Linked DNA regions of Oryctolagus cuniculus. The protein of the gene in region 4 interacts with the protein of the main gene of each other region in a pairwise test. Links are inferred from orthologs where the notes say so. Each region holds a gene or a part of one and is shown on either strand. Other genes may lie near its edges.

The links.
Region 1: the proteins of CCDC57 (region 4) and PRPF31 interact in binary tests that used the Homo sapiens proteins (3 or more experiments, as listed by UniProt). The two-hybrid records come from large-scale screens. The link is inferred for Oryctolagus cuniculus from reciprocal best matches to the Homo sapiens genes CCDC57 and PRPF31.
Region 2: the proteins of CCDC57 (region 4) and SFI1 interact in a two-hybrid assay, tested with the Homo sapiens proteins (2 studies listed by BioGRID). The two-hybrid records come from large-scale screens. The link is inferred for Oryctolagus cuniculus from reciprocal best matches to the Homo sapiens genes CCDC57 and SFI1.
Region 3: the proteins of CCDC57 (region 4) and PRAM1 interact in binary tests that used the Homo sapiens proteins (3 or more experiments, as listed by UniProt). The two-hybrid records come from large-scale screens. The link is inferred for Oryctolagus cuniculus from reciprocal best matches to the Homo sapiens genes CCDC57 and PRAM1.
Region 5: the proteins of CCDC57 (region 4) and TSGA10IP interact in binary tests that used the Homo sapiens proteins (3 or more experiments, as listed by UniProt). The two-hybrid records come from large-scale screens. The link is inferred for Oryctolagus cuniculus from reciprocal best matches to the Homo sapiens genes CCDC57 and TSGA10IP.
Region 6: the proteins of CCDC57 (region 4) and tyrosine-protein phosphatase non-receptor type substrate 1 interact in a two-hybrid assay, tested with the Homo sapiens proteins (2 studies listed by BioGRID). The two-hybrid records come from large-scale screens. The link is inferred for Oryctolagus cuniculus from reciprocal best matches to the Homo sapiens genes CCDC57 and SIRPA.
Region 7: the proteins of CCDC57 (region 4) and TMEM100 interact in binary tests that used the Homo sapiens proteins (3 or more experiments, as listed by UniProt). The two-hybrid records come from large-scale screens. The link is inferred for Oryctolagus cuniculus from reciprocal best matches to the Homo sapiens genes CCDC57 and TMEM100.

Annotation. Positions count from the first base shown.
Region 1 is NC_091449.1:4,557,696-4,561,195, reverse strand, and holds part of PRPF31 (U4/U6 small nuclear ribonucleoprotein Prp31), read left to right. Parts: intron 1-1,069; coding exon 1,070-1,159; intron 1,160-2,018; coding exon 2,019-2,146; intron 2,147-2,232; coding exon 2,233-2,305; intron 2,306-2,608; coding exon 2,609-2,737; intron 2,738-2,817; coding exon 2,818-2,916; intron 2,917-3,500. UniProt on the Homo sapiens protein: Involved in pre-mRNA splicing as component of the spliceosome. Required for the assembly of the U4/U5/U6 tri-snRNP complex, one of the building blocks of the spliceosome.
Region 2 is NC_091452.1:24,698,068-24,701,567, forward strand, and holds part of SFI1 (protein SFI1 homolog), read left to right. Parts: intron 1-114; coding exon 115-191; intron 192-953; coding exon 954-1,056; intron 1,057-3,452; coding exon 3,453-3,500. UniProt on the Homo sapiens protein: Plays a role in the dynamic structure of centrosome-associated contractile fibers via its interaction with CETN2.
Region 3 is NW_027208201.1:4,532,389-4,536,430, reverse strand, and holds the start of PRAM1 (PML-RARA-regulated adapter molecule 1), read left to right. Parts: upstream 1-1,242; 5' UTR 1,243-3,869; coding exon 3,870-3,872; intron 3,873-4,042. Other genes in the region: ZNF414 (zinc finger protein 414), read left to right, coding at 1-95, 179-229, 669-839, 941-1,014. UniProt on the Homo sapiens protein: May be involved in myeloid differentiation. May be involved in integrin signaling in neutrophils. Binds to PtdIns(4)P.
Region 4 is NC_091448.1:791,103-795,315, forward strand, and holds the start of CCDC57 (coiled-coil domain-containing protein 57), read left to right. Parts: upstream 1-1,413; 5' UTR 1,414-1,510; coding exon 1,511-1,556; intron 1,557-1,594; exon of another isoform or gene 1,595-1,916; intron 1,917-4,213. UniProt on the Homo sapiens protein: Pleiotropic regulator of centriole duplication, mitosis, and ciliogenesis. Critical interface between centrosome and microtubule-mediated cellular processes. Centriole duplication protein required for recruitment of CEP63, CEP152, and PLK4 to the centrosome.
Region 5 is NC_091432.1:5,831,756-5,835,928, reverse strand, and holds the start of TSGA10IP (testis-specific protein 10-interacting protein), read left to right. Parts: upstream 1-1,373; 5' UTR 1,374-1,440; coding exon 1,441-1,569; intron 1,570-2,590; coding exon 2,591-2,727; intron 2,728-2,828; coding exon 2,829-3,517; intron 3,518-3,617; coding exon 3,618-3,765; intron 3,766-4,173.
Region 6 is NC_091442.1:27,586,426-27,590,618, forward strand, and holds the start of tyrosine-protein phosphatase non-receptor type substrate 1, read left to right. Parts: upstream 1-1,393; 5' UTR 1,394-1,725; intron 1,726-2,130; exon of another isoform or gene 2,131-2,670; 5' UTR 2,671-2,679; coding exon 2,680-2,758; intron 2,759-4,193. UniProt on the Homo sapiens protein: Immunoglobulin-like cell surface receptor for CD47. Acts as docking protein and induces translocation of PTPN6, PTPN11 and other binding partners from the cytosol to the plasma membrane.
Region 7 is NC_091448.1:31,403,550-31,407,792, forward strand, and holds the start of TMEM100 (transmembrane protein 100), read right to left. Parts: upstream 2,801-4,243; 5' UTR 2,698-2,800; intron 825-2,697; exon of another isoform or gene 581-824; intron 558-580; exon of another isoform or gene 478-557; intron 144-477; exon of another isoform or gene 50-143; 5' UTR 1-49. UniProt on the Homo sapiens protein: Plays a role during embryonic arterial endothelium differentiation and vascular morphogenesis through the ACVRL1 receptor-dependent signaling pathway upon stimulation by bone morphogenetic proteins, such as GDF2/BMP9 and BMP10.

The DNA.
Region 1 (3,500 bases), on a different chromosome or scaffold from region 4:
AGCCGCTGCGGGACAGATGGCCTGGCTGTCCCCGGTGCTGGCTCCCGTCCCTCGTGTGGACGGCGTTTCCTGGCCGCGTGCCTCGCCCCGCCCATCACTGTCCTCCAGTCCGCAGGCAGCAGACGGGAACGGATCCCAGGGTGCCAGCAGGCCGCCCAGAATCCCAGGCCCTGGAGCCCGGGCGCTGCCCCCCACCACCTGCGCACTGCTGCCCAGAGCCAGGCCCTCCGCAGGCCACGCTGCTGCCCTGTGGCTGAGGGCCCCTCCCGCCCGTGCTGTTCCAGCTCAGTTCCTGCACAAGCCGAAGACACCACAGCATGGCCCGCTTGGTGGCCGGGAACCTCAGTGTCCACATGTTTTTTAGAAGGTTTTATTTATTTACTTGAGAGGCAGAGTTACAGTCAGAGAGATCTCTCAGCCACTGGTTCACTCCCCAAATGGCTGCCACGGCCAGAGCTGTGCCGATCCAGAGCTGGGAGCCAGGAGCTTCTTCCGGGTCTCCCACGTGGGTGCAGAGGCCCAAGGACTTGGGCCATCTTCCACCGCTTTCCTAGGCCATAGCAGAGAGCTGGATCGGAAGCGGAGCAGCTGGGACACGAACCAGACCCATACGGGATGCCGGCGCCACCGGCAGCCAGAGCCTTAGCCCACTACGCCACAGTGCGGCTGCAGGTTCCACGTCTGCCAAGTGGGGGCGCTGACTGCAGCAGCCTGGTGCTCGAGCATCTGATGAGGGTCCGTGTGCAGGGCGAACCTGCACAGCAGGGTTGAGAACAGGCTGCAGGTGCTCCCCCGGGAACCTCCGCGTCCTCCTCTGGGCTCCGCCCTCAGCCACAGCGACCCCAGCACACGGCTCCTCCGGCCCTGGCCTCCTTCCCACGATGGGAGGGGGCTGTTGGGAGCAGGGGCCGTGTGTGTGTGTGTGTGTGTGTGTGTGTTAGAGAGAGAGAGAGAGGTCCTCGTGTGTGTGTGTGTGTGTGTGTGAGTGAAGCCCCCTCGGGGAGGAGCAGCCCTGTCTCTGTCCATCTGTCCGGCTCACAGACTCCGCGTCCCCCTGCCGTTGCTCTAGGATCTGCGGCGGAAAGCAGCCCGGCTGGTGGCCGCCAAGTGCACGCTGGCAGCCCGCGTGGACAGTTTCCACGAGAGCACGGAGGGGAAGGTGAGGCTCGCTCTGGGGACCCAGCCCAGGAGCACTGCCCTGACGGGGCACACACACCCCTTCCCTGGCTCGGAGCTCCTGTCTGTCTCCAGAGCCAGCCAGGAGCCCCTGCAGACCCCCCCTCCGTCAGGGACCTCGTGACCCCAGGGCGCCCTCCCCACCCCACAACCCCAGCCACACCCCTCTTGCCTTGTGATGTCAGCCGTTCCGGGCCAGGACCTGGGCCCTGCTGGCTCTGTGCTCTCGGCAGCCGCACCTGCCGTCCTGGGCATTGCTGTGTGCCGGCTCCCAGCCCGGCAGTGTTCAGGTGCCCAGCCGCCACCCCTGCACACACGCACACAAAGCCCCGCCTCTGGGGCTCCCACTCCAGTAGGGGCTGGGGCAGCAGCCAGGTGACACTTGCCCCACAAATGCCAAGAAGAAGAACAGCATCTGGGGTGTGAGGGGTCGGCGGGAGGGCTTCTCTGGCCAGGAAGTTCTGCCCTGCACCCGAGTGCAGTCAGCGTCAAGTCCCAGGGCCCCTGGGGGAAGTTCCAGGTGGGACGGTCAGTGCAGGCGGCCTGAGGCTGGAGCCCCCCCAGCCCCCGGGGGGTGAGGCGGTGATGGGGCACCTTCTGTGCCCTCGGGAGGACCTGGCACCTTGGAGGTGCTGAACAGGGGCCTGCGGGACCTGAGGGCGGTGCCGGGAGAGCAGCAGGCATCGCGGGTGTGAGCTGGACGACCGGCCCACCCACTGTCCGGGGCTGAGAGCTTGGTCAAGCAGCAGCTTCAAAGGGCACCCAAGAGCCGCCAAGGCCGTCGGGTGCTGCGGGCTGATGGCCCGTGGTGCAGCCGCCCCCGCCTCCCTGTCCCCCCCCAGGTGGGCTACGAGCTGAAAGACGAGATAGAGCGCAAGTTCGACAAGTGGCAGGAGCCGCCCCCCGTGAAGCAGGTGAAGCCGCTGCCTGCGCCCCTCGATGGGCAGCGGAAGAAGCGAGGCGGCCGCAGGTGAGAGACCCGGGGGGCGCGGGCGGGGGCCTCCGAGAGGAAGAGGCCCGAGCTCTCTGCCCGCGCGTGACCCGCCGCCTTCCCAGGTACCGCAAGATGAAGGAGCGGCTGGGGCTCACGGAGATCCGGAAGCAGGCCAACCGCATGAGCTTCGGGGAGGTGGGCCCCGCCCCTCACCCAGGGCCCCCAGTCCTGCCCCGTCCCCGCCCCCCCCACCCAGGGCCCCTCTGGCTCTCCCCTTCCGCTGCCCACCCTCACCAGGCTCCCAGGACCCAGGCCTACCGGCCTCCCAGGCTCAGCCACACCCGCCCCCTGTGCTCTGAGCATCCTCTGGTCCTGCGGCTGGGCTCAGTGCCCCCAGTGCTGAGACCTGTGCTGCCCTCGCACCCTCTCCCCCCAAGCATGAGAGAGGGCGCTGTGTGCTGAGGGCCCCCACCTGACTGCGGGCACCCCCCCCCCCAGATCGAGGAGGATGCCTACCAGGAGGACCTGGGCTTCAGCCTGGGCCACCTGGGCAAGTCGGGCAGTGGGCGCGTGCGGCAGACGCAGGTGAACGAGGCTACCAAAGCCAGGATCTCCAAGACGCTGCAGGTATGGGCGGGGCCCAGGTGGGGGCGGGGTGAGGGACGGGGGCGGGGCTGCCCCTTCATCCCGTGCCCTCCCACCCACAGCGGACCCTGCAGAAGCAGAGCGTGGTGTACGGCGGGAAGTCCACCATCCGTGACCGCACCTCAGGCACAGCCTCCAGTGTGGCCTTCACGCCCCTGCAGGTACGGCTCGGGCCGCCCCCCACCAGGGCCTGCTGGGGGGGTGGGGGGCAGCCAAGCTCCTTCCCTTTCCCCGCGAGGCAGCGGCACGATGGGGTCCCCTCTCCCTGGCCATGTGGTCCCGGCACAGTAGGTGTGAGGAGGGTGTACAGACCAGCCCCAGACTGAGGCCTGGGGCTGCCCAGTTCCTGGTGCGGGCGACCGCCCCCTCTGGGGCTCCAGGCGGTCACGAGAAAGCTGCCAGGTGGGCTTGGGTTCCCACTTGGGTTCCGTCCGAGCCGCCACACCTGTCCGCGGCTCCGTGCAGTCACCACACGGCAGCGTGCCCCATGGTGATGGGTGACGTCCCCACGCTCCCTTGCCCAGCCAGGGAGTGTCCACTGGGCGCCCACCAAGTCCCAGGAGCGTCGGGCTCTGGGGAGGAGGTGAAGAGCAGAGGAGACAGCGCGGGTCGGTGGGACCGTGGGACACAGGCGCCCGGGCAGCGGGAGCAGGACCCAGAGGCCCTCGTGGGAAGAACCACCGCTGGGCGCGGCTTCGGCCGCAGCCCCCTGGGGCTCTGTTCCCGGGCGGGATGTCGCCTCTGT
Region 2 (3,500 bases), on a different chromosome or scaffold from region 4:
ATGCTCTGGGCATGGCGTTTCCTATTGTAACCATACCACTGAGGCAAGGAGAAGGCTGGAGCAAGGAGCAGGCTGGGCCCAGAGGCGGCCCCCAGCCCTCCTTGTCCGCCACAGACTTACCAGGACCAGGTGCGGAGCATCCTGCAGGAGGTGACAGCCAGGGAGAGGCGGCACCACAGGCAGCTGCTGCGGTGAGTCTCCCGAGCCTGCCCAGGGCTCAGGCTGAGGAATGAACGGGCCTGGCCACAGCAAGCCCTGGTCTGCTGGCTGCAGAGTGAGGCTTTAGAAAGCAGCTCCCCTAAAGCCTGCGAGGCTGCTTGCCTGGCCTGCTCCACCCCGCAGAGATCACGGGCCACCTGCGTCTCCCTGGGGAGGGCACTCAGGCAGCCTCGTGCAGCTTCCCCAAAGCCCATCCTCCAGTTCTAAGCTCTGGACGTGCTCCTTCACAGTGGGCCTTGCTCCTGCCTCTCTTTGTTTTCCTTCTTTCATGTTGGTTCAGCACGTGCTGTTCCAGGCAGCCTGAAGGCGGTGGGCCTCTTAGCTTTAAACACATCCATACTTCCTTTGGGCCCCTCCAAGCAGCTGTCCAGCACTTCAGACAGCAGGAGGAGAGGGGCTCCCTGAGCTCGCTCTGGCTCGCACACATGCACGCACGCACGCACACACGCCCTTCCTCCAGCTTCCCTGGCCCCCGAACTTCTCTCATCATCGCAGTGTGAGTCACCTATGATGACATCATCTGGTTCTGGCCCCACAGAAATTCCTGAGGACAGGGAGCAGTGCCCAGCACTGAGCAGGTGCTCTCCAAATGCACCATGGGTGGCCACACTGTGAGCCTGGTGTCAGTGTGACCGGTCCCCCGAGGCAGAGAGCCCCAGCCCAGGAGAACGGGGAGGAGGAATGACTCCTGAGGGTCCCCCTGTTTCTCCCTGCTGAGGCCTGTGCACCTGCAGGTGGGTGTTACGCCACTGGAGACAGAACACCGTGGCCTGTGTGGATGAAGCCAGGAAAACTTCCCAAGCATCTGCTCACTACAGAAGGACCCTCTGTTCCAAGGTGAGGTTAAGGGCAAAGCTGCTCACCCTGGGGGTATGGCGACTATTTCCTGGCAAGAGTTGGGGGTGGTGCCAGACATTCAGACAGAACAAGGGGCCCAAAGCATGAGGAATTCCACATGTGTAGAAAGTACTGGTTCTGATAAGAATTCGTTCAGGGGCAGGCATTGAGATGCCTGTGTCCTGTATTGGAGGCATGGGGTCCAGACTTCTTTTTTTTCTTTTTTTAAATATTTATTTATTTGAGAGGCAGAGTTAGAGATGGAGAGAGGAGAGACAGAGAGATCTTCAATCCACTGGTTCACTCCCCAAATGGCTGCTATAGCCAGAGCTGGGCTGATCAGGAGCCAGGAGCTTCCTCTGGGCCTTCTTTGCAGGTGCAGAGGCCCAAGCACTTGGGCCATCTTCCAGTGCTTTCCCAGGCCACAGCAGGGAGCTGGATTGAAAGTGGAGCAGCCGAGACTTGAACCTATACCCATGTAGGATGCCAGCACTGCAGGTAGAGGCTTAACCTACTGTGCTGCAGCGCCGGCCCCATGAGTTCAAGTTTTGACTCATCTCATGATTGTAGCTTCCTGCTAATGCACCCTGGAAGCCAGTGATGGTGGCCTAAGTGCTTGGGTCCCTGCCACCCACGTGGGAGACGTGGACTGTGTTCCTGTCACCCGGCTTTTGATCTGGCTTAGCCCCAGGGACTGTGAACATTTTGGAGGGGAGGGGTTGAACCTTCAGATGGGAGTGTTCTCTCTCTCTCTCTGTCTCTCTCTCTGTGTCTCTCACAAGTAAAATTAAAGTTTTTTTTTTAAGTATCACTGCTTTTTAAAAAAGGATGTCATGTTTTTACTGAATTACAAATCCATATCTGCTGAAACAAGAACACGGCACACAGTCAATAAACTGCTTCTTACTTGAGCCAGTACTTTCTGCACATGGGGACAAACTGTGAACCGCTGAGCTCTAGTCTCCTTTCCCTCCTCCTCCTCCATCAAAAGACGATGCTGGGACAGGCTCTGGGCCACAGAGGCTTTCTGGGTAGCACGCAGTGTCCAGGGGGTAGGTGCTTGGTCATCTTCAGTGGGAGGAGACCCCAGATCACCACCTTGTTCCACTGGAGTAGAAGCAAGGAGATGCCATGTGGTAGCACTGGTGCCCAGGGGGTGGGGAGGGCTGGCAGGAGGTGGCCGTGGGAGGAAAATGATGGACCACAAAGAGCGCCTTCAGACAGAAACAAATGACAGAGCACAGAGTAGTCCCTGAGCCCGAGCATTTAGAAAATTTAAAACATTTTATTTATTTTCGTTTTATTTGAAAGGCAGAGAGAGAGACACAGAGATCGTTCATCTGCTGGTTTACTCCCCAAATGCCCACAACAGCCAATTCTGGGCCTGGTCAAAGCCGGGAGCTAGGAACTCCATTTGGGTGGCAAGGACCCAAGTGCCTCCAGGGTGCAATTAGTAATAAGCTGGAGTTGGCAACAGAGCCAGGACTTGAACCCAGGCGTTCTCAGGCGGGATGTTAACTACTGCGCCAAACCCCTGCCCGTGTATTTCTTCACCTCTCTTTTTAGCTAGCAGAGACAGAGCTCCCATCCGCTGGCTCGCTCCCTCAATGTCCACAGTGGCAAGGACTGGGCCAGGCAGAAGCCAGGCACTCAGGTCTCCCGTGTGGTGGCCGGAATCCAACAACTGCTGCTTCCCAGGGTGCACGTTAGCAGGAAGCTGCCAGCGAGCGCAGGGCAGGACTGGAACCCAGGTGCTGTCACATGGGGAGAGGGCGTCTGTGGCTTCACCACCAGGCCAGACCCTTCCCCCAGTCAGCCTCGTTAGGAGACGTGTGTGGGAGCCCTGGCTGCAAGGCAGGCGCTGGTCCTGACAGCTGCAGCCAAGGGGGAGGGAACAGTTGCATCTGGTCAAGGCCCCATCTGTTTTCAGACAGACTTGGAGGCCAGGCTGTGCACCCCCGCCCTGGTAAGGAGGAAGGAGAGCAGGAATCTTGGCTTAGCCTCAGGGCGTAGAGAGGGGGAGGCCGTGTAGGTGGGAAAGGAGTTCAGGGCTGTATGGAGTGGCCACAGGCCTCCCTGGCTGCCAACTTATTTTTTTTTAAGTGTTTTGCTACTGTGATTTTACTCTCTCATAGGAACAGGGCAGATACGTGCATGTTCTGTTTGCTAAATAACAGAATTATACCCATGTAATGACTTCTTCATTCCCTTCTGCCACAAGTCTCAGCGCCTGCGGTGCTGGGCTAGCTGTGGGGGGCCTGGGGCTGTGTCCTGTGGCTGTGTGGATCTCAGGCACCTCAGCCGCTCCTCCCCTCAGGAGCTGCGGTCGCGGGCCTGGGGGTCCCCAGAAGTCAGGACACGTTCCGATGACCCCTCAGTTCCTCGCCTGCCTGTAGGTCCTGATCCAGTGGCGGGAGGTGGCCTCTGTGCGGATTTACTACCGA
Region 3 (4,042 bases), on a different chromosome or scaffold from region 4:
GCCCTTCGGCCTAAGCCCCCCACGCCTGCGCCCCTTCCTGGCTGCGGCGCCCGGGCCACCGGCCTCCAGCGCTGCCGTCTGGAAAAAGAGCCAAGGTGAGTGTCGGGGGCGCGGCCTCCTGCAGGGAGCGGCGGGCTGGACTCCCCCTGACTGGACCTGACCCGCCCCTTTATCGCAGGTGCTGGCGGCAGCCCCCGAAGACCCCAGGGCGGCTCCGATGCGCCCTCAGGTGCGTGCAGGTGACCACCAGGGAGGGTTGGCGGGGCTTTCCTTCCTGCGCCCTGCAGGGGCAGTGCAAACTGGCAGGCATCTGTGCCCGTCCCGTTCCCAGGTGGCTAAAAAATGCCACCCCGAAATACAGGATTTTGCCTTAAAAACCACTGGCACCTGCGCCTTCCTCTGCGCCGGCGTTCCCGTGTGAAACTCGCGCCCGCCCAATCACCGTGGAGCGCTCCTTTCCCCACCTGCGAGGGTTCGTGGGCGCAGGGGCCGCGGATAAGCCGAGTTTACGGCGGTGATGACGGGCGGGAGAAACGGATCCAGCTAGGCCTGGCCGCCTGCGCACGGGAGCTGATGGGGAAGCGAGGAAAAGTCCAAGCCGCCGCCCGCGTCCGCCGCCCCCGGGCTAGGGTCGCGGGACTGATAGGGTCCCGCCTGCCTGCCCGCAGGGCACGCGGCTCCGGGCCGCATCGTGTGGGAGCACACGCGCGGCCGCTACTCATGCATGCAGTGCGCCTTCTCCACGGCCTCGCGGTCTGCCATGACCCTGCACCTGGAGGACCACCGCCCTGGCGCCCCCGCGGCCCAGGCGTCCGGGCCGCGCCCCGACGCCTCAGCGGGTAAGGCCAGGGGACAGCGCCGCTGCAGAGGGCGGGGGGCACAGGGGTGAGGCGAAGCCGAGGCTCACGCGCTTCCTTCTCCCCTTTCCCCCCCACCCCAGACCCGGCCCCGCTTGCACCCAGTGCGTCGCCGCTGCTGTCAGAGGGGGAGCTGCCAGTCTTCTCGCCTCTTTGATCCGGGCTGAGATGGGGGGCGGGCGGCGGAGTTGAAGAGTTTTGTGATTTGAGGTGGGGGACAATAAAAGAGGCGCGATAAGCCAGCCTGTGCTGTGTCTGGGTCCCTTGCCCTCTAGTGCACACGGGGCCAAAGCCCAGCAGCCCAAGAGCTCCCCCCCCCCCATCAGCTCACGCCGGTCGCACAGAAACAGGGCCTGTCCCTCAGCCAAGCCATGTCGCATGTTCCCTGTCGCCTCTGTCCTGGGACCTGGGACCCAGGTCTCCAGTGCACTGCCACCCTATCCCTGGGTGGGGTCGAATTCTCAAGTTGTTGGGAGTGGGGAACCGGCATTTGGCAAAGCAGTGAAGTTCCCCACCTCCCTTGTAGGAGTGTCTGGGTCCCAGCTCTGCTGCTCACCGCAGCTCCCGGGAGGCAGTCCGAGCTCACCTGCTCGGGTCCCCACCACCCACAAGGGAGACCTAGATGGAGTTCCCCGTTCCTGGCTTCAGGAACTGCAGGCATTTGGGAAGTGCGAACCCCCAGATGGGGCATAGCTCTTCTCTCCCCCCCACTCGATCTCTCTGCCTTCCAAAGAAATTAATATTTTAACATTTCTGGGGCATCCGTGGGGGTGGGGGCTGTCTGCAGTGCTGGGGTCCCAGGCGACCCTCCTTGCTGCCTGGGCTCCCGCTTCATGGACGCCCGGTCTGAGTCCACCTCTACCCCATCCATTTTGAGAAGTCACACTGGGGTCATCCTGTTACCGCAACCCAGAGCGTCTTTCCCCTATGGCACTGCACCGGGTCAGGGCCTGGCTGCCCTGTCCTTACCCCTCCCCGCTCATGCCGGACCTCTGCCTGCTCCCCTGCAAGCCTGAATGCCCCCCGGTCCCCTGCAGTCCCGCGCCCCCCAACCCTCCCTCTGGACAAAGCTGTGACCTTTGTCAGAGAGGGGCTCCGAGAGCATCAGGACCCGAAGCAGAGTCCTCCTAAGTGGGGTTTGAGTTCCGCCCGGCAGGGGGCGCCCGGGAGTGTCTGAGGGGCGAACCCGTGAGTCTGGCGACCTGTCAGGCGCCCACCTGCGCAGGTGCAGAAGCAAGTGGGCCCGAGATCGGAGGCTCCCACTGACCACGGTGAGCCGCAGCAGGCGTTTTGGCCTGGGTTGAGGCACGGCCAGATGCCCGTGCAGCAGCCGGCAGTGCCCACACCAGCGGGTTACCCTGACCGCGGATCCTGGCCCGAGCACCCGCATCCCGGGCTCCCGACTTCTCGTGCTCAGCCCTCCCACGCCGCAGATTCCCACAGCGGCGCGCTGAGGACTCCCACTCCCCCAAGGCGGACCCTGGCCCAAGCTCAGTTCTTCCAGCTTCTGGTTCTGCGGCTCCGCGTAAAGGCACCAAAAACACAAAGGGGAATGTGGTGGACGCGCCCCCTGGCGGCTGGCGGCCGCCCCTGCAGACGGCGCAGGGCTCCATGCCTGCTTCCTGGGCATCCAAACTGCGCTGCTCTGTGCTGGGGGCGTCCACATGGATCCTGGGGAGTCAGCTGGCAGTCAGGCGTTTAGCCTGCCATCACTGAGCGCCTACTGTATGCTCCTGACCATTACCAGACCTCCTGAGAATCCAGTTCCCAGGGGAACCCACATCTGGGAACTGTGACCCAGCCACGGGCCCCCGAGTGGCTGTTTAGCTGCGCACTGCAATCTCCCAATGCGGTTTCTAACAACCCCGGTCCAGGCCCCGCCCCAGACCAGAAACTGGAAGTTCTGCTGTTTCCTAAGCTGCGCAGGCGATTTCCACGCATGACCACACAGGATCCAGGAGGGTGCTTTCCAGCCTTCCTCCCCGGGACAGGGCCCAGGTTCCTCCAGCCTCCCAGGGGCCGTCCTACCTTGCTTTCCTCCCAATTACTGCCTTCTGGATCCTTCCTTCTGCATTACCTTCCATCTCAGGGAACTTGGAATGTCCCTGCTCCCCCATGGGCGAGTTCTTGGACATCATGGCCCCGCCCCACCCCCAACACACACCCCTAAATCTGCGGTCCCCCAGCCGCCAGCCCAGCAAATCTGTCCCAAGAACAGGGAAGTTCTTGGCTTGCAAAGATGTGTTGAAAAGAGGAAGGTGTATTAGGCAAGACGAGCAGGCAGCTGAGGCCTCACCCATCATACAGGGACCATCCCCCTCCTCACTGGATGCCCCGACCCCTGGCCTTCCGGCCTCAGCTGGCCTGGGGGCAGCAAGTCCCCAGGAGCTCCCACTGGAAGCAAGGAGGCAGCAGAAAGACCAGGGACAGAACGTTCCAGTTGGCGGACATGCCAGTTACCCTGACCTGATCATCGCACATTGCACACGTGGATTGAGACACCACGTACTACCCCACAGATATGTGCAATCATGTGCCAATTAAAAATGTAAAACAGAATCGGGCATTTGGGCCCGCATCCCCCGTGGCAGTGCCTGGGTTCGAGTCCCAGCTCTGCTCCCAATTCCAGCTCCCTGCTAATGCACACCCTGGGAAGTACCTGGGTCTCTGCCACTCCCATGGGAGACCCGGATGGAGTTCCTGGCTCCTGGCTTTGGCCTGGCTGTTGCTTGCATTTGGAGAGTGAACAGGTGAATGAAAGATCCCTGTCTCTCTGTCATTCTGCTTTTAAAGTAAAAATGAAAATAAAGAGGACTGTGATATGAATGTGCTGATTCCATGCACTGAGCAAGGAGGTCAGGGTGGCTGGGGACAGGCCGGGCGGGGCCGTCTCCGCCTCCTTTCCTTCTTCCTCTGCCCTCCCCACCTTGTGTGCTGGCCTGGGGAGCAGAAGCCACAGGCACTTCCTGAAGGCAGCAGCCTGGTGCCCCGGCCCATCACCAGCCTGCAGACATGGTGAGTCCCCCAGCCCCGGGGCAGAGGCTGGGGAGGAAGGGGCACAGCAGGTGGAAACTGGAGGCAGGGGTTCCAAGAGCAGAGACGCGAAGCGGGTGCTAGGGAAAGAGGTCGGGGGACACAGGAATAGTCGGGCGGGGAGCCCCCGAGACAGGAGCCCGGGCTGCGGC
Region 4 (4,213 bases):
CCCTGGACTTCCGCTGCTCTGCTCGGCCTGCGCAGCCAGCACTGGGGGCCGCCGTCCAGGCTGACGCGGGTTGAGAGACATCAGAACTGGACCTCACTGGGAACAGGGTGGTTGCAGATGGGACTGGCAGGGGTGAGGTGGCACTGGAGCAGCAGGGAGGAGGCTGTGGGGAGCACGGCCCTGTGGGCACCGCCGCCCATCCATGCCCAGAGGGACAGGCCTGCTGGGAAGCAGCCCCGAGACCCCGCACCGGAGTCCTGCTGATGCCGGATTGACGCCGGGAGCCTCCAGCGGGGAGGGAGGTGCAGGGGGCGCCAGGTGGGGCCAGGAGGGGCGCAGGGGGCATGGCCCTGCACACAGCCCCCCTACGGGGCTTGTGCGATTCCCCAGCCTCAGACCTGCCCTGGCGTTGTCCCCTGAGGTTCCCGGAGTGACTGTGGCTGCAGCCCAGGGCGGTGCCGTCGTCAGCCACGCGCCTGGCGCCTGAATAACAGCTCTTTTCTCTCCCGTTGCCCGAGGCCAGGGTGCCGGCAGGCTGGCTCCTCCTCTCCTGCCCCGTCCTCGCCGGCCTCGCCTCTGCACATGCCGCCTCCCAAGAGGACGTCTGCCCTAACGGAGCAGGGACCTCGTCTGCACACGCGGTCGAGTTCGCGGCTTGGGGAACAGGGTCAGACCCGACATGGGGTCTGTGCACCCCGCTGTGGGTGCCAGGATGCAAAACTAGCAGCCCCGAGCCCCTCCGCCGGCGCCCAGCACGGGCTGCTCCCCTCAACCTCCCTGGCCAGGCCTGGAGCAGGTCCAGGGGCCACTCAAACCCAGCCCTGCCCTGTGCTGCGAGGACAGGGAACCTCCAGGCCAGGGCCAGGCCTGTGTCCTCAGAGACCGAGAGCCCTGAGGAGGACGGGCCAGGAGCTGGGCGGCTGCGGGCAGAAGCCCCGGGTGCGACTCCAGGGATGGGTGTGTGTGTGCGTGTGTGTGCAGAGGAGCAGGGGCTGCGGACCCCCACCTGAAGCCTGACAGGGGCGTGGCCCAGGCGGGGTCCCGGTACTGTCCACAGGCCCCAGTGCGGCAGCGCTGGCCGAGGCGTGCCCATCTGACGCCGGCAGAAGCCGGGGTGCCCGACGGGGCAGGCGGGCCTGGGCTGGTCCCCGCAGTCTCGCCAGGGACCCAGCCCGGCGCCAGCCCCGGCACGAAACGCAGCCTGGACGTGCGGGCGCAGACCTACTGGGTGCCTTGGGGACCATGGCCCTGCTAGGGGAGAGCCCCGTCGCCTCCGGTGCGTGAGGACGCGTGTCTGGGGGCGGAGTGGGCCTCAGGCCCGCCCTGGACCCCCGCGGGCAATCGCGCGCTCGGGGAACGCCCACCCCCACGGACCCCCTCGGCGCCTGCGCACAGGAGGGGCGGAGGCGGGAAGAGGCCGGAACGCGGCGCCCGGGCTCCCGTTTCCGGCCGGCGGGACCCCAGAGGCGCACCGAGGGCGCCCGGACCGCGGGCGGCGGACTCGGTCGCTATGGCAACGCGGCGGGGCTGGGCGTCGCCCGGGGCCGGCGTTCCCGGTGAGGCGCGGGCGGTGGTCGCGGGGCGGCGCCGCGGGTGGGGGGCGCGGGCGCCGCGGAGGCCTGTGGGCGCCCGCGCTGCGGGTCCTGAGGGCTGCTGGCCGGCGGGCGGGGTCGGGTCGGACCCAGGCGGTGCGGCGGACCCAGGCGGTGCGGCCCAGTGTGGGGCTGACAGGGGAGCGGCGGGGGCGCTGCGGCCCCCGCTGCCGTCTGCTCGGATCCCCCCGGTGCCCGCCCACCTGTTCGCGCCGGAGCGCCGCGCTCTCCTCGCCCCGGCCTCGGCCCCTCGGTGGAATCCCCGCCCCAGGGCGTGTCCGACGTCTGTCCCGGTTCCGCTCAAGTCGGGCCGTTGTGTCTAGGGTTGGTAAATATTTGAAAGGCAGAGGTGCAGGGGGTGGGGGAGGGAGGGAGAGAGAGGGGGGATGGGGGAGAGAGCGAGAGCGCGCGAGAGCGAGAGCGCGCTTCCATCGGCTGGGTCACTCCCCAGATGTCCCCAGCGGGGGCTGGGCCAGGCCGAAGCCGGGAACCTGGACCCCGTGCGGGTCTGCACACGGGGGCGGGGCCGGGAACCTGGGCGCCCTCGCTGCCCTCCCGGCACGCGCGGGGAGCTGGATCGGAGGTGGCGCAGCGGGGCTGGGACCGGGCCCCCAGGTACCCCGGGGACACCCGCGGCTTGAGCCCGGGTCACGTGTGTCCCTCTGGGACTTCGTGGGAGACGCTTAGACTGTGCAGGTGTTCTCGCGTCACCGCGGAGTCCTTGCTCCCAGCCCTGCGCCCCTGCCTCGCTTTCCTGCGGGCTCATTGACCATCCAGCTGTGTGCCTACGGCGCTCACCCTGAGCCCGTGCGAGCCCGCGCGTGTGCTGTGCAGGCCTGCTGCCCGCTGGCCCAGCGAGGCCTGTCCGCCGTGTTCCGGTGGGAGGCACTGCGAGAGCCTCCGACCTCGGCCTGGTTTCTGTTTATCTTCCGGTGTGCAGCCAGGGATTTCCCAGAGGCGCTCTAGTGGTTGTTATGGTGGCCTCGCTGGTCTCCGTCTGGTTTGGTTTTGGCACACGGAGCATCTGTGTGGGTCCAAAAGTGGCCGAGTCTGAGCGCGAAGCTCCGTGACCATGGCTTCTCCTGCATTTGATTCCCCACGTTCTAACCTTTTGGCAGGGGTGGGGGATGTCGTTTCAGAGAAAATAACCCCTCCCCGTGGCGCCAGCGCGCACCTCCGTCCGCTGCCGCCTCCTGCCCCAGGTTTAGAAACCGTGTGGCCACTCTGACAGCAAAGGGAGGGAAAGGAGGCTTGGGCTCCAGGCCAGTAACTTGTCTCCTGGACCCACGTCCGCGCAGCCAGTGTTGAGCTCCAGAGCGCAGGGGTCACTGTGCCCTCCCGCACAGGGGGCGCGCCCCTGCACCGCCCGCAGGTCCCACAGGCCGAGGGTTTGCTGCAGCTGCGGGGCAGACGGGAGGCAGCACGCCCTGCCCGGAGCGGCTGGGCCGGTCACAGCGCTGGGGCGCATCTTACTGGTGGCTGAGCGGCAGGCCAGTGCGGCAGAGCTGCAGTGCCCCAGAGGAAGAGCTGGGCTGGCGGTGCCGCGGGGAAGCCGCCCGGGCTGCCTGCGTCCCACACCCGAGTGGGGTGCAGTCCTGTCCCCCACACCCAAGTGGGGGTGGAGTCCTGTCCCCCAACCCGAGTGGGGGTGGAGTCCTGCCTGCCACACCCGAGTGGGGGTGCAGTCCTGTCCCCCACACCCGAGTAGGGGTGGAGTCCTGCCTCCCACACCCGAGTGGGGGTGGAGTCCGGTCCCCCACGCCCGAGTGGGGTGCAGTCCTGTCCCCCACACCCGAGTGGGGGTGGAGTCCGGTCCCCCACACCCGAGTGGGGGTGCAGTCCTGTCCCCCAACCCGAGTGGGGTGGAGTCCTGTCCCCCAACCCGAGTGGGGGTGGAGTCCTGTCCCCCACGCCCGAGTGGGGGTGGAGTCCTGTCCCCCACGCCCGAGTGGGGGTGGAGTCCGGTCCCCCACGCCCGAGTGGGGGTGGAGTCCTGCCCCCCACACCCGAGTAGGGGTGGAGTCCTGTCCCCCACGCCCGAGTGGGGGTGGAGTCCTGTCCCCCACACCCGAGTGGGGGTGGAGTCCTGCCCCCCACACCCGAGTAGGGGTGGAGTCCGGTCCCCCACGCCCGAGTGGGGTGCAGTCCTGTCCCCCACGCCCGAGTGGAGGTGGAGTCCGGTCCCCCACACCCGAGTGGGGTGCAGTCCTGTCCCCCACGCCCGAGTGGAGGTGGAGTCCGGTCCCCCACACCCGAGTGGGGGTGGAGTCCTGTCCCCCAACCCGAGTGGGGTGGAGTCTGGTCCCCCACGCCCGAGTGGGGGTGGAGTCTGGTCCCCCACGCCCGAGTGGGGGTGGAGTCCTGTCCCCCAACCCGAGTGGGGGTGGGGTCCTGCCTTCGTTTCCGTCCAGCCTCTTGCTGACGTGCTTCCTGGAGGCAGCCAGTGATGGTTCAAGTCCTCGGGTTCCGGGTTCCTGCCTCCCTTGTGGGAAACCTGGGTAGAGTTTTTGGCTCCCGGCTTCTGCTGTCTCAGCCCTGGCTGGTGCAGCCATCTGGAGAGTGAACCAGTGCACGGAAGCTCTTTCTCTTTCCCTGTCACTCTGCTTTTCAGCTAAGTAAAA
Region 5 (4,173 bases), on a different chromosome or scaffold from region 4:
AGAGCCCCCGTGGGTGACATTCGGCGGAGACAGACGGCAGGGGGCATGGCTGGCCCCGCAAAGAGCGGACTTGGTGCATCCGGGTGATGATCTTCGTCTGCAGCACAGCCAGGGCCAGTGAACGGGTGTCCCGCGGTGGATGTGGTGCAGGACGGAATGAGAGCAGTCGAGGGCGGCAGTGACCAGGGTCCCCTCTCACGGGGCCACGCCCTGGCTAATTAGTACTAGCAACTCTTTTTTTAAAGATTTGTTTTAGGGGTTGGCGCTGTGGCGCAGCAGGTTAACGCCCTGGCCTGCAGTGCCGGCATCCCATATGGACACCGGTTCAAGACCCTGCTGCTCCTCTTCCCATCCAGCTCTCTGCGATGGCCTGGGACAGCAGTAGAAGATGGCCCAAGTCCTTGGGTCCCTGCACCTGCATGGGAGACCTGGAGGAAGCTCCTGGCTCCTGGCTTCATCAGTGCAGCTCTACCGTTGCGGCCAATTGGGGAGTGAACCATCGGATGGAGGACCTCTCTCTCTCTCTCTCTGTAACTCTGACTTTCGAATAAATAAGTAAATCTTTAAAAATTTTTTGTTTTATTTATTTGAAAGGCAGAGGGACAGAGAGGTCTTCCATCCACTAGTCCACTCCCCAGATGCCCGCAACAGCTGGGCTTGAGCCAGGCTGAAGTCAGGAGCCAGGTCTCCCGTGTGGGTGGCAGGGGCCAAGTCCCGGAGCCATCGCGGCTGCCTCCAGCCGCAGACCAGCAGGGAGCTGGATTGGAGGTGGAGCTGGGACGGGAACCCAGCAGACGCTCAGGTGATGGGAGCGTCTCAGGCAACCTGCCAGCCCCCTGCGCCACAGCGCCTGGCCGCTGTCCTCACCGCCGTGCAGCCCGCTTTCCCAAGCCTCGCCCTGTGATCGCGCAGCAGACCTCTGAGCCGGGCCCACGGCCCAGGTGCAGGAGCAGCAGTCACAGAGCCTGCAAGGCCGCTCCCGGGGGGCGGCGCGGGGGCCTTGTGGGGGTTCACATCCCAGGGCTTTGCTCGGCACTGCCGAGAAGGCTGGGGTCAGATTTCGGGGCCGAAATTCCTCCCAAGGCCTCCTCCCTGCAGCCTGCCTGGGCCTCCAGAGTGACCCAGTCCTGGGGTCCCTTTTGCGGATGGACGGGGAAACACAGGCCGAGGCTACGGCAGGAGAGCCGCTCACACAGGGTCCGTGGCGGCGGCGGGCTGTGGCACTGGTCCTGTGGGCCTCCAGGCCTGGGTCGCTCCTCAGCGTCCAGCTGAACTGTCCCCTGGCTGGCCGTGGTCCTCACCTACCCTGGAGGACCCCTCCCTGAGGTCCCTTTAGCCAGAGCGCTTGAGACGGGCTGGGAGCGGTTGCCGTGGAGATGGCCGGAAGGACAGTTCCACGCTGTGGTGGACGTGGGGGTGGGGACGGGACAGGACACCAACATGCTCCACACCCACCCACAGCTGGCCAGGCCCTCACCCGGGAGACCGGGCCAGGACCCTCGGTCTCAGGCTCCAGGGACGGCCACGAGGCTGCTTGACCTTCTGTCCAGCATCCCCCAGGCAGAGCAGGTGAGGGGCCCCGTGGGGGGGGACTTCCAACTGCCCAGAGGCAGGCGGGCACTGGGCTCAGGGGCCAGGACTGGACTGAGGCCCCAGGGGAGGGGTATGAGGGGGTGGAGGAGGGGCACAGGGTGACTTCGGGGTGACGGTGTGATCCAGGGGACATGGACCCCGCAGGAGAGACAGGTTTCCGGGATCGGACGGGACGTCAGAAGAGCTGTCCACTCGTTACACTGCTTCATCTGACGAGGTCTTTATTGCTTATTTAGTGTTCATTCTCTCAGTTTGTTCACTGATTTTTCAGTTTTAACTGAGATGGAATAATTGGGCGTGTTTCTGGGGCACACCTGGGCATCGGCACACCCACCCCTTAAACGGTCCTCATCCCTCTGCCTTGGGGACTCGTGAACTCCTCCTGGCTGGGGACAGATGGCACGGGGCTGGGTCCCGGCTCCACGGCTTCCCAGCCATGTGTGCTCACGGTGAGACCTGGGTCCCGGGCGTGGTTAGATGCGTTCTGCGAGAAAGGCCCGAGCAGGTGGCAGGAGCCTCATCAATGGCAGCCGTTGCTATTTTTTTCAAAGATTTATTTTATTTATTTGAGAGACAGAGTGACAGAGAAAGGTAGAGACACAGAAAGAGGTCTCCCATCCACTGGTTCACTCCCCAGATGGCCACAGTGTTCAGAGCTGCGCCGATCTGAAGCCAGGAGCCAGGAGCTTCTTCCAGGTCTCCCACATGGGTGCAGGGGCCCAAAGACTTGAGTCATCGCCCACTGCTTTCCCATTAGCGGAGAGCTGGATGGGAAGAGGAGCAGCCGGGACATGAACTGGCGCTCCTATGGGATGCCGGCGCTGCAAGGCAGGGGTTTAACCCACTGCGCCCCAGCCCCAGCCATTGCTAGTTCAATAGGAAGACTTGAGAGTGGTGATGGGTCTCAGAGGGGCCCAGTCAGGGTGTGCAGGGGAGGAGAAGGACTCCAGGGATGTGTAGAGGTGGCCTCCCCTCTCCCCACCCCGTCTTGGTCCAGGGGAACCCCAGGAGCGGCGAGGGCGCCCCGGTTCGCAGCCTGCTGCAGAGGTCTCAGAGCGCGAGGCAGACGTCCAAGAAGGACCACAGGCCCCGGCGGAGGAGCAAGAAAGCCCAGAGCTGCGCGGAGGCCGAGGAGTAAGGGGCAGGGGCGGGCTGGAGGGGGGCTGGCGGGTGGGCGTGGCTCGGACCCGGACCCGACCCTGACCCGACCCCCGCCCCGCCCTCTCCCTCTTCAGTGTCTTCGCTGCTCCCCGGAAACCTTCCTTCCCCTTCCAGTGGGCCTGGGAGAGCTTCATTACAAGTGCCTCCGCGGGGTCCCAGCCCAGCGGCCCCTCGGCCCCCGGCCCCCACGCCCCGCCCTTCCCCCAGCTCAGGTCCCGGCGCGGGTCCGTGGCCAGCCTCCCGGACGCCCTGGGCTTCTGCCAGAAGATGGAGGTGCAAAGCCCTGAGAGGAGGCAGCAGCAGCTGGGGGCCTGGAGCCCCTCGCCTCAGGGCAGAGGGGAGAACCCAGGGCTGGAGGTGCCCAGCGAGCGTGCCCTCTGGCCGACGGGGAAGCCGGCAGGACCCGCGCTGGAGTGGGAGGGGGAGGCCATGGGCGCCGAGGAGGAGCCCGAGAGGGACCTGAGCCCCCGCCAGCTGCCCCAGCTGCCCCGCAAGGGGCTGCTCTCCGAGGAGGACCAGTGCTCAGAAATGACGGAGGAGGACGAGGACGAGGAGCTCGGGGCCCCCCACAGGAGGAGGGCCGGGCCCCTGACAAAGGGGCAGCACCCTGGGGACCCGCAGAGCTGGAGCCAGAGCCGCAGGAGCAGCCCCAGCTCCGGCCACCTCCCCGGGGCCCAGAGGAGGAGGCGGAAGGCCCGGGAGCTGGAGGGGCCCTGGGACCTGGAGATGCTGCGTAGGCAGCTGCAGCAGAACCTGGACTGCGGTGAGCGAGCGCGGGGCTGAGCCCTGGGGCTGGGCTGGGGCTGGGCTGGCCCCCGCGGGCCGGGACGAGGGTGGGCCCTGATCTGGCCCCACCGAACCAGGCCCCCAGAGGCAGCCCTGGAAAGCTCTCCAGACCCCCGTCCAGGCCTCTGACCGCAGCGGGAAGGCACACGTGCTGGGAGATGACGAGACGTTCCCGTCTGCCAGCCTCCCCAATCGCACCTTCCACAAGCGACAGGAGGCCACCAGGTGCGGAGAAAGAGCGGGGAGGGCGGGGAGCCGGCAGGAGCCAGCTCTCCGGGAGCCCCCGGCCGTCCTCCCCGCCTTCGCCTCTTCATTCCCACCCTGTGTCCACCAGTCTTTCTGACAACCCAACCACCGTCGGCCATCCGTCGGCCCGCCCACCCACTGATGGCATCCAGTCAGCCACTCCCTCACCCATCTCTCTGTGAACTGTTTGTCCACACAGGCCGCTTTGCCTCCATCCCCTGCCTCGTCTTCCCGCCCTCCTTAACCCATGCATCGTGTGATTCACGCAACACAGACTGAGCACGCGCTCACGGGCCTCGGGGTTTGGAGATGGACTCTGGGCACCCAGGGCCCGGGAGAGAGGGCTTTGGGCAGTTATGTCCGTTCGGTCGGGTAATTGCTCCGCGT
Region 6 (4,193 bases), on a different chromosome or scaffold from region 4:
AGGGGCTGAACCTAAACACAGGTTCTTTACCTGGGCCATCAAGGCCCACCAGCGAGACCACCATCTACCACCCTTTATCGCCCAACCCCACGGAGCCAGCCTGGGTTGGGGGGCCTTTATCTGTGGTGTCCCTCAGTCTTCCTGGAATATCTCGTTGCGATTCAGCTCCCAGTTTCTTGGGGGCGGGGGGCTTACCTGGCGCCCCTTACCTAAATGAGCTCATCTCTTCTCACGCTCTGATCTCAATCTTCTGGTGTTCCTTAGTTATTTCTACTCGCCTACTTGTCCATCTCCCTTCTCGAATGGAAGTTCCCGGGCCGCAGGGGCCTGTGTGAGGGCTGCTGCTGTCATCTCCCACTCCCAAAGAAATGAACATTCCCTTGTACGGCCCAGTGGGGTCGCTGGGATGGTCGTCAAACGTGTTGGGCGTTTATCACGTGCTCGCGTCATGCTTGCTCGGGTGGCACCAGCATGTCCTTTCGTCTGAGCCTCGCTGTGGACTTTCTGGGTTCTCACTCGCGTGGGTTTCCCTCCTGATGATGAAGCTGGGGCACCCCAAGGATGAGGCCAGGGCTAGCTCCTGAGAGGTGGCCAGAGGCCTTCAACCCAGGGAGCCTGCCCCGTGGTCCCAACAACTGCACCTGTCTTCAATCAGGATCAGGATTTGACCAGCAGGCCAGACTGCGGGAGGGAGACCACTGCAAAGGTCTGGGCCTGAGAGCCTTGCTTCTACCCCAGGCCTTGCTGTGTAGCCTGCGGCAAGCATATGCCCTCTCTGGGCCTCAGCTCCCTCTGCTCTGTCCACACAGAGCCAGGCCTCCCTCCGAGACTTGGTTCATTCACTTCCTCGCCACTGCCCCCGTGTGAAAGGAAGCTGGCTGTGCCCAAGCTGATGGCCAGCTCAGAGACCCTCCAAATAGCAGAGGGCCTTGTGCTCCCTTCCAACCTGGTGCTGGCCCCCTTCCACCAGATGCCCTAGCAGCCTGGCCGGACCTGCACTCCCCAGGGCACGGGAGCTTTCTCCGCGGGAAAGAGGCTGCGTCTGCCCCCCCCCTCCCCCCACCATTCCCTGACTTTTCTGGAGCCCAGGCCTCCAGGTCCTCCCTGCCCGGGCCTTCCCCTCCCTGATTCTGCCCTCCTGGACCCAGAGCACCTGCTCAGAAGGAACCCACCTCCCGGGAAGGGGCCCGGACCGGCCCCCTCTCCCTTCCTGCCCCTCTCCTCCCTCTCCTGCGCCTCTCTTCCAGGCGGCACTGGAGTCCTTCCTACTCACACGCTATTTTTGTACCATCATCTCTCTCTCTCCTCTCCCCTTCCCCCTACCCTCACTTACTTCCTGCTTTTTCTCCACCTCGGCCGGGCTCCGAAAGACTCAGGTCCCCCGGCCCACCCCCACCCTCATCCCCAAGTGGGGTCTTCAGCTTTGGGGCACAGGGGCAGGGCCGCCTGGGCAGGGCGAGACCGCAAACACGTCCCCGGCCCCGCCACTGCCCCCTCCACCGCCGCCTGCAGTCTCTCGCCAGCGGGAAGCCGGGACCCACCGTGGCCGGAGTCCGGAGCAGGGGCGGGCGGTTGCAACTTCCCCAGTCCACCTTAAGAGGACCATGTAGCCAGCTCGCGGCGCAGACCTTAGGAAAACAAGTTTGCGCAAAGTGCAGCCCGGGCTCGGCCTCCGGGCAGCCTCCAGCTGCGCCTCCCGGCCTTCCAGCTCCGCGCGCGGCGGAGGTACAGGCTGGTGGGAGTGGGAGGCGCTCCGAGGCGGGCGCTCCGGGGCGGGGGGCGAGCGCGCGGGCTTCCCCCCTGGCCCGCATCGGCGGCTGCTCGTGCGGTCCCGAGCCCCGCGGGCTGCGCCGGGGGCTGCAGCCGTGCCCCGCGCGGGGGTGTTGGGGCCCCCTGCGCGGCGCGGCGCGGCGCGGGGGCCGCCGCTGCCTTCCCGGGCCGGGCTCGCGGCGCGCAGCCCTCGCTCCCTCCCCTGGGGCGCGCCGCTGGCGGGGGCGCGGGCGGGCGATCGCAGAGAAGGTGCCGGCGGGGCCGGAGCCCCGCAGCCTGGCGGGGCGGGAGGGAGGCGGGGAGCGCGGGCGGGAGGGGGCCGGGCTGCCGGGAGGGCGGGGGCAGCGGCCGGGACTGCGGGCCGGGAGCGAGCTAGCCGCCGGCGCCGCGAGGAGCCCGGGCGGGGCGGGTGGGCCGTGGCGGGGGCGGCCCCGCGCGGCGGGTTCGGCCGCTGCCCCGCGCCCTGCGCTCGCGTCCTCTCTCCCGCGCTGTCTGTCTCGCTCTGCGCCGCCCCGCGCGCTCTCCCTCGCTCGCTCGCTCGCTCGCTCGCTTTCTCCCCCTCTCGCGCCTCTCTCTGTCTCTGGCTCTCTGCCTGGCTCCCTTGGGTCTGCTTCTCGCTCCTGCCGCTCTCCCTGGCCGTTCCTGCCTTCGCTTCTGGCGCTCTCGGGGTCTCTGCCCCTCCCCGTCTGCCGAGCTTTCCTGGGGGGCGGAGGGGTGGCTCCTCCGAAAACCGTGGCGGCGCCGGGGGCTCCTAAGCCGCTCCGGGCGCCCGTTCCGGGGAAAGGGGGGGGAGCCCGGCCGGGCGGGGAGAGGAGGGGGGGGAGCCTTAGTCATTTCCCCGCTCCAGCCTGCGCCCGCCCGAGCGCGCACTCACGGCCGCTCTCCCTCCTCGCTCCGCAGCCGCGGCCCATGGAGCCCGCCGGCCCGGCCCCCGGCCGCCTCGGGCCGCTGCTCTGCCTGCTGCTCGCCGCGTCCTGCGCCGGGTCAGGTAAGCACTCCCCAGCTCCCCTCGGCTGCCTTCCGCGAACTGCGGGCTCAGGCCTCCCAGACTGCCGCTGGGAGCCACTCGGCTAAGATCGGGCATTACTAGGGGGAGAGATGCCTGTAACCCAGGGATACAGGTGCGGAAACTGAGGCCCAGAGAGGGCCAGCGACTTGCCCAAGGTCACACAGCCAAGGATGGACCCCAAGGATAGAGCTGTCCCCGGCAGCGTCCCTCTCTGTGGGCTGTGCCAGTGTGGCACAGCGCTGGGCACCGGGACACGGGGATGAGTTGGTTCACCCCAGCCCTGCCCAGCTGCTATGGGAGCAGGCATCCGGGGCTCCCCAGAAGACCCTCTCCCTCTGCATGTTTGACTTCAGGCTGGGAGAGAGGGGTGGGGGGCGAGGTTCCCGGTGCCGCCTGGAATGGAACAGAAACAGGCTGTTGCAATGGGGGAAGAGTGCGCTCTCCCTCTGGTGCTCAGAGTCAAGTGGTGTTTGTGTGTGCACGGGGAGGGAGGCCCGGGCGAGCTGCTGCCATCAACAGATCCCAGGGAAGACGCAGCCGACTGTCCCTGTGGTTGCCAGAGCTGCTGGCTGGCTGGTCTCCCCCCACCAAGCTGTCCCCCTCCCCCCTCCTTCCTTAGGAGGCTTCCAGGCAGCCTCCCTGCAGCGCAGGTGCTCCGAGGGGCTGTTACCTGTGGCTCTGAGCACGCCTTTTTGTTGGCCTACATCATACACCTGGCCGGCCCCCGCAGGCCAGCTCTGAAGGCTACTGTGTGTGTTCGCCAAGGGGTGAGGTCACCATTCAGAAGTCCTGCTTCTTAAAAGGGTTTCGCCAAACCGCGGGGCTCCTGGGAGGGTGTGGGATGGAGGGGCAAGGACTGGTGTTAAATTAACCAGGGCCGGGGCCCGGGAAGGGGGGAGAGGAGAAGGGGGATCTTGTTTTTCTGCCTCTCGGAGCTGGGATATAGGCAGAGGGGTCCTTGTACCTCCCACCCTTGAGGAGGGAGTTAAAGAGGAGCTCAGTGCCCACCCCCACCCCACTCTTGGCTTTGCTGGGAGATGGTAACCATCTGATAGCAGTGAGAAGGAGAACTAGCAAAGAGTGGGTGGAAGGAGAAGTGGGGGTGGACAGCGGGCCTACCCTGCAGTTTCCCATGAACTCAGAATCCACACGCTCCCCCCTGCCCCGCCCCCAGCCCATCCCAGCCTTTGCAGTTACACTTGGGCCCTTGTCTGGCAGAAGGAAGCCCTGATAAATTCCATGTCTCTCTGGTGAGTGACATCTCGGATCTGTTCCTTCCTGCCAGCGCCGGCCATTAGCACCCTGCAAAAGTCCAAGTTCCTGCCCTGCCAGCCTTCCTGGCTTGGAATCGCAGGAGTGGCTCTCACAAGGGCTTGATTTTTCCGGAAGCCAGGCACCGGGGGACACAAGTTCA
Region 7 (4,243 bases), about 31 Mb from region 4:
CTGCTGGACCAGCACAACTGTCAATAAAATGACAGCTCAGGAGTGTCCTCTGGGGGAAAGAATAATACACCACTGCACTGTATGGTTTGGCTTTGAATCCTGAAGCTCTTCCTTCTCTCGGGCTGCCTGGGTTCCTGAAGAACGCTTGCCTTTGCCTCCCTCTCTTTTTATTCCCTCCCCCTTGTCTGCCCCTCCCTGTCCTGCTGGTTTTTTTTTTTGTTGTTGTTGTTTTTTTTCCTTTCCTCTCTCTTCCTTCTTTTCCTGGCTAGCAGATTCTGAGTTTTGGTTTGCCCCGACTCTGCTCAGTGACATGATAAGTCAGAATCATTTTCTACAGGGTCCCCAGAGACAGGAGCCAGCACTGACTTTTCCTTCTCTTGCAGCGTTTACTAAGGCAGACTGCTTGGAATTACTCATTTTTTCCCCAGCCAACCTCCAGATCTCCCTCCCGCCCATCAGGCGTTTTCAGAAGAAAACCTCATAGTCAGCGTGGTCGACCCAGCTGAAGGGACAGAGCCCAGGGAACAGACACTTCAGGGCAGCAGGAACAAATGTGACACCATCGGGCAGCTGAATTCACCTCTAAAGCAGCAGGAACCCGTGTCCCTAGGTTTTCCTCCTGTGTCGTATTTGCCTGTGTGTGCTGTCATCCAGAGCTTAGGACCCTGCTATTTCCTGCTCATTCATTTAGAATCCAAGTTGGGAAATACTAATTTGTGTCATTAAGGAGGAAAACCAGTCATGCTGATTTAAACACAATAGCTTACTACTTTTGCTGGAAGGTGACTAACTTATGCTGTCTCATCATCATCATCACCACCACCACTGTCAACATTGACGGAGCAGCTGCCATGGCCATCATGTTATTCAGGAGGTCACACATTAACAGTGGTGGTCGCTGACTTACAAATGAGGAGACAGATTTTCAGAGAATTTAAGTAAACTGAGAAAAGTCACCCAGGGAAAGAGAAACTCCAGTCTTTCCGCGGTATAGAAATCATTTGGTGAGCTTGTTAAAGGTAGAGTCCATTCAGTAGGTCTGTAACAAGCTCCCCACCTAGGCACAGGCTGCTTTTTTCCTTGGCTGCCTTTCAAGTGTAAGATATTTTAAATATTCAAACATACAGGACCCGACCAGCATACTCTCAAGCTGTAAAATTAAAAGTTTACTCCTCACCCCCTATACATGGCCTTATTTATAGGTTAATTCTTACACACTACTGGAAATGTAAAAGTACTTGAAATACATAAAGTTCCAGATTATCTTTTTTTTAGGGAAAAATACTGGGAAATTTTTATAAGCTTGTCCCTGTATTTCTGCAGTTAGAAATTATCCACCCTTCATTTTTCAATCTGGACAAGCGTTCGTAACTCCTTTTCAGCAATACGGTGAATCTTCAAGTTCACCGTTAGATGAGATGTTTTTTCTTTCCTAACTTTTCTCTAACTCCTGGCACAGCCATCGCGTGTTCTCAAACATCACACCTCTGCTATAGAACCACGCACCCTTCTCTGCCTCCGGTACTTTTACAAGAGGCAGCTGGAGCCCTTTTTCCCTGGAATGGAAGCCAGATAGAGGGTTTCTTCATTTCAAAAAAACAAAGTTGCAAAGTTCCTGCAGCCTGGCAGAACTGGAGAAGGGCAGGGGGCATCCTGCTGAGGACGCTCACCACCTGGAAGGCCTCTGTGACCACTCACACTTTTAAATCCTCACACTTTTAAAATGCGGCAAGTAACCAGACACAGATCAGGGACATTTAGAACCAGGGCATTTCAGAACTTTCCAAAGTCGCCCCTGGAAGATGGGGATATTGGGTGCCACAGGAAGCTCTTGGGAGCTCCTTAAAGAAGCAGTAGTCTTCCCCAGTGGCCTTGGGGGACAAGTCCTCTCTACTCCACAGGGCAAGCCACTCCCCCACCTCTACCCCAAAGAAGCCCAAAGAAGCTCTGAGCATCACCTCATCCTGTCCAAGATCATGCTGCTTTGTTACTAAAGCCAGAAGTCTGAACAGCACTTCTAGAGTGTGGCCTGAGGCATCTCTGTGAACCCTGAGCCCCCTGGCCACACTGATCATGGGGTCTGGGCAGGTCAGCCTGGACTTCTAACACCAAAGCTCGCCTCAGCCTGCTCAGGCTCCAGGTGTCCGGCTCACCCCGGCTCTCGTTCACACCCTGTGTGCATCGGATGCACACATAGATCTCTGCATTCTATGTAGACAGTAAATTCAAAGGACCGGAAAGCTTTGCGATAAAGCAGAAATAGCATCGGAAGAATCTTGGGAACCTGTCCTAACCACTGACACTTGCAGCTTTAACTGACTGCACACTGAAATGCGGAGAATCCCCCCAGCGAGCCGTGCCTGGTGCCTTTTGAAGGTTTATTCCTCTTTCCACTTTGTGCCCATAGGAACCAAACGCCCCTGGGCATCGCTTCATGCACATCTGCTCCCGAATGCAGAATTTCTTCGGGATACAACCAGCCTTCTTTCTGCACGCCCTCTCTTTTCAGAAGGGAGAGGAAAGCTCCCGGGCTCTCTTGAAAGCAAGCACATGGCTTAGGATACTCCGTTAAGTTCTCAGGACTTTTCTGAAAGCCTCGAATGCATGAATTAAATATGCAGCTGCCCATCACAAAGCCCGGTGGGCAGTCAAGAGTCCTCCCCCAGAACTTTGAAAGAGCAAGGCAAAGATCCTTACCTTCCCCAGCCAGCAGCGGACTGAGACAGCTGCCAGCCCAAACAGCAACTCAGCGAGGGGGATGCAAATCACCGCGCTAGGGACCGTGAGCAAAGTACTCAACAAAGCTTAACCACAATTAAGGGACCGGAGACAATTTACTGAGAGGAAATCCTTCCAAAGCTGCCGAATTTTGCCCTTTTCCTCCGTGAGAAAGTGACCTACATTTTTTTTAAAGAATACCAGGTTCGAAAAGATGCCCTCCTTTGTTTTTTTCTCTCTTTATACCCATATTTACGTATTCATTTTCAAACTTTTCCCTAGGCAAAGCCTGCATTCTGACGCTAACCTTTTATAATACCATGAACTTGCTGAAAATAAGGTTTGAGATCTTAGTTCTCCAGTTCTCAAGGGGTGTGGGGGGTTGAGAGTTGAATACAAATTAGTCTCTTTCACCATGAAGTGCAAGTAATAGGCGTACAAAGAAGATGGGATTTGTGGTGGAGACCCTTTCCCTGGCTTTAGGGGGAAGGGTGGTTTATCAGTGGTGATCAGAGGATGCCAAGGTGCCAGGGCGATGATGATGCACTAGAAAAATCACATCTCTGAGGAACTGAGGCTGCCTTTCACCAAAGTTGTCACAAAGCAGGACCAGGAGTGCTCACTGTTCCAGGGAGAATTCCCACCCCCAAATGTGAAAAATCGCACTTTGCCTTGGAGACAAGCTGAGTGACAAAGCTTCTGAGGTGACCTGAGCAGGGAGTAGGGGGAGTGTCAGCGGCGAGGGGGGTGAGGACCATGACAAAGAGACCCTTTGGCCCATTTCCCTTCAGGAGAAGCCGGGGAGAGGGTGGGCTGTAGGTCGGGAAGACGGACTTGGTGATTTTGCTGTTGAATACCCGCTGCTGGCGATCCGGGGAGCTCCCCTCTGGGAGCACAGTGGCTTGGCGAAGAGCGCCCGCATGTGCGTTTGATTACTTGCTCGCTCATGTTTACTTTCAGTTTGGTTTTGCGTGGTGTGCCTGCCTTGGCGCACTGCCAGCAGCCTTGAAGATGCCAGTTCCTCCCGGGACTCTGTCCAATCCCTGCACACCTTTGATCTGGGTCATCACCCAGTCCAATTGGATTCCATGCGATTTGGGAAGCTGGCCAGTTTTCCTCCTTTCTAATGCTTCTTTTAAGGGTGTGTCTGCATGGAAATTCTGAAATCAGGGAGTTTCTGGAAGGTGATCTTGCATGTGTGCTCATTTTGGGTAATAGGTCATGGCATTCTTTCTCTCTCTCTTTCTCCCTCACTTTCCCTCTCTCTCTTCCTCCCCTCCCCCCACAAAGAACTTTCCTTTGAGGTATTAACAAAGATATGCTAGTACCAAGAGAAGCAATGGGTGTGCCTTAGGTGTAGATATGTATTTTACTATTTGCTAGTCCATTTCCTGGTTTGAGAGCCTCGTAAGATCCAGGGAGCTACAGAAAGGAAAGCATACCCATTTCAGATGCTCATCCCAATCCCCACTGTCTTACCCATTTTGTTCTGAGTAGTTATGGAAGATCATATAGACAGTTAAAA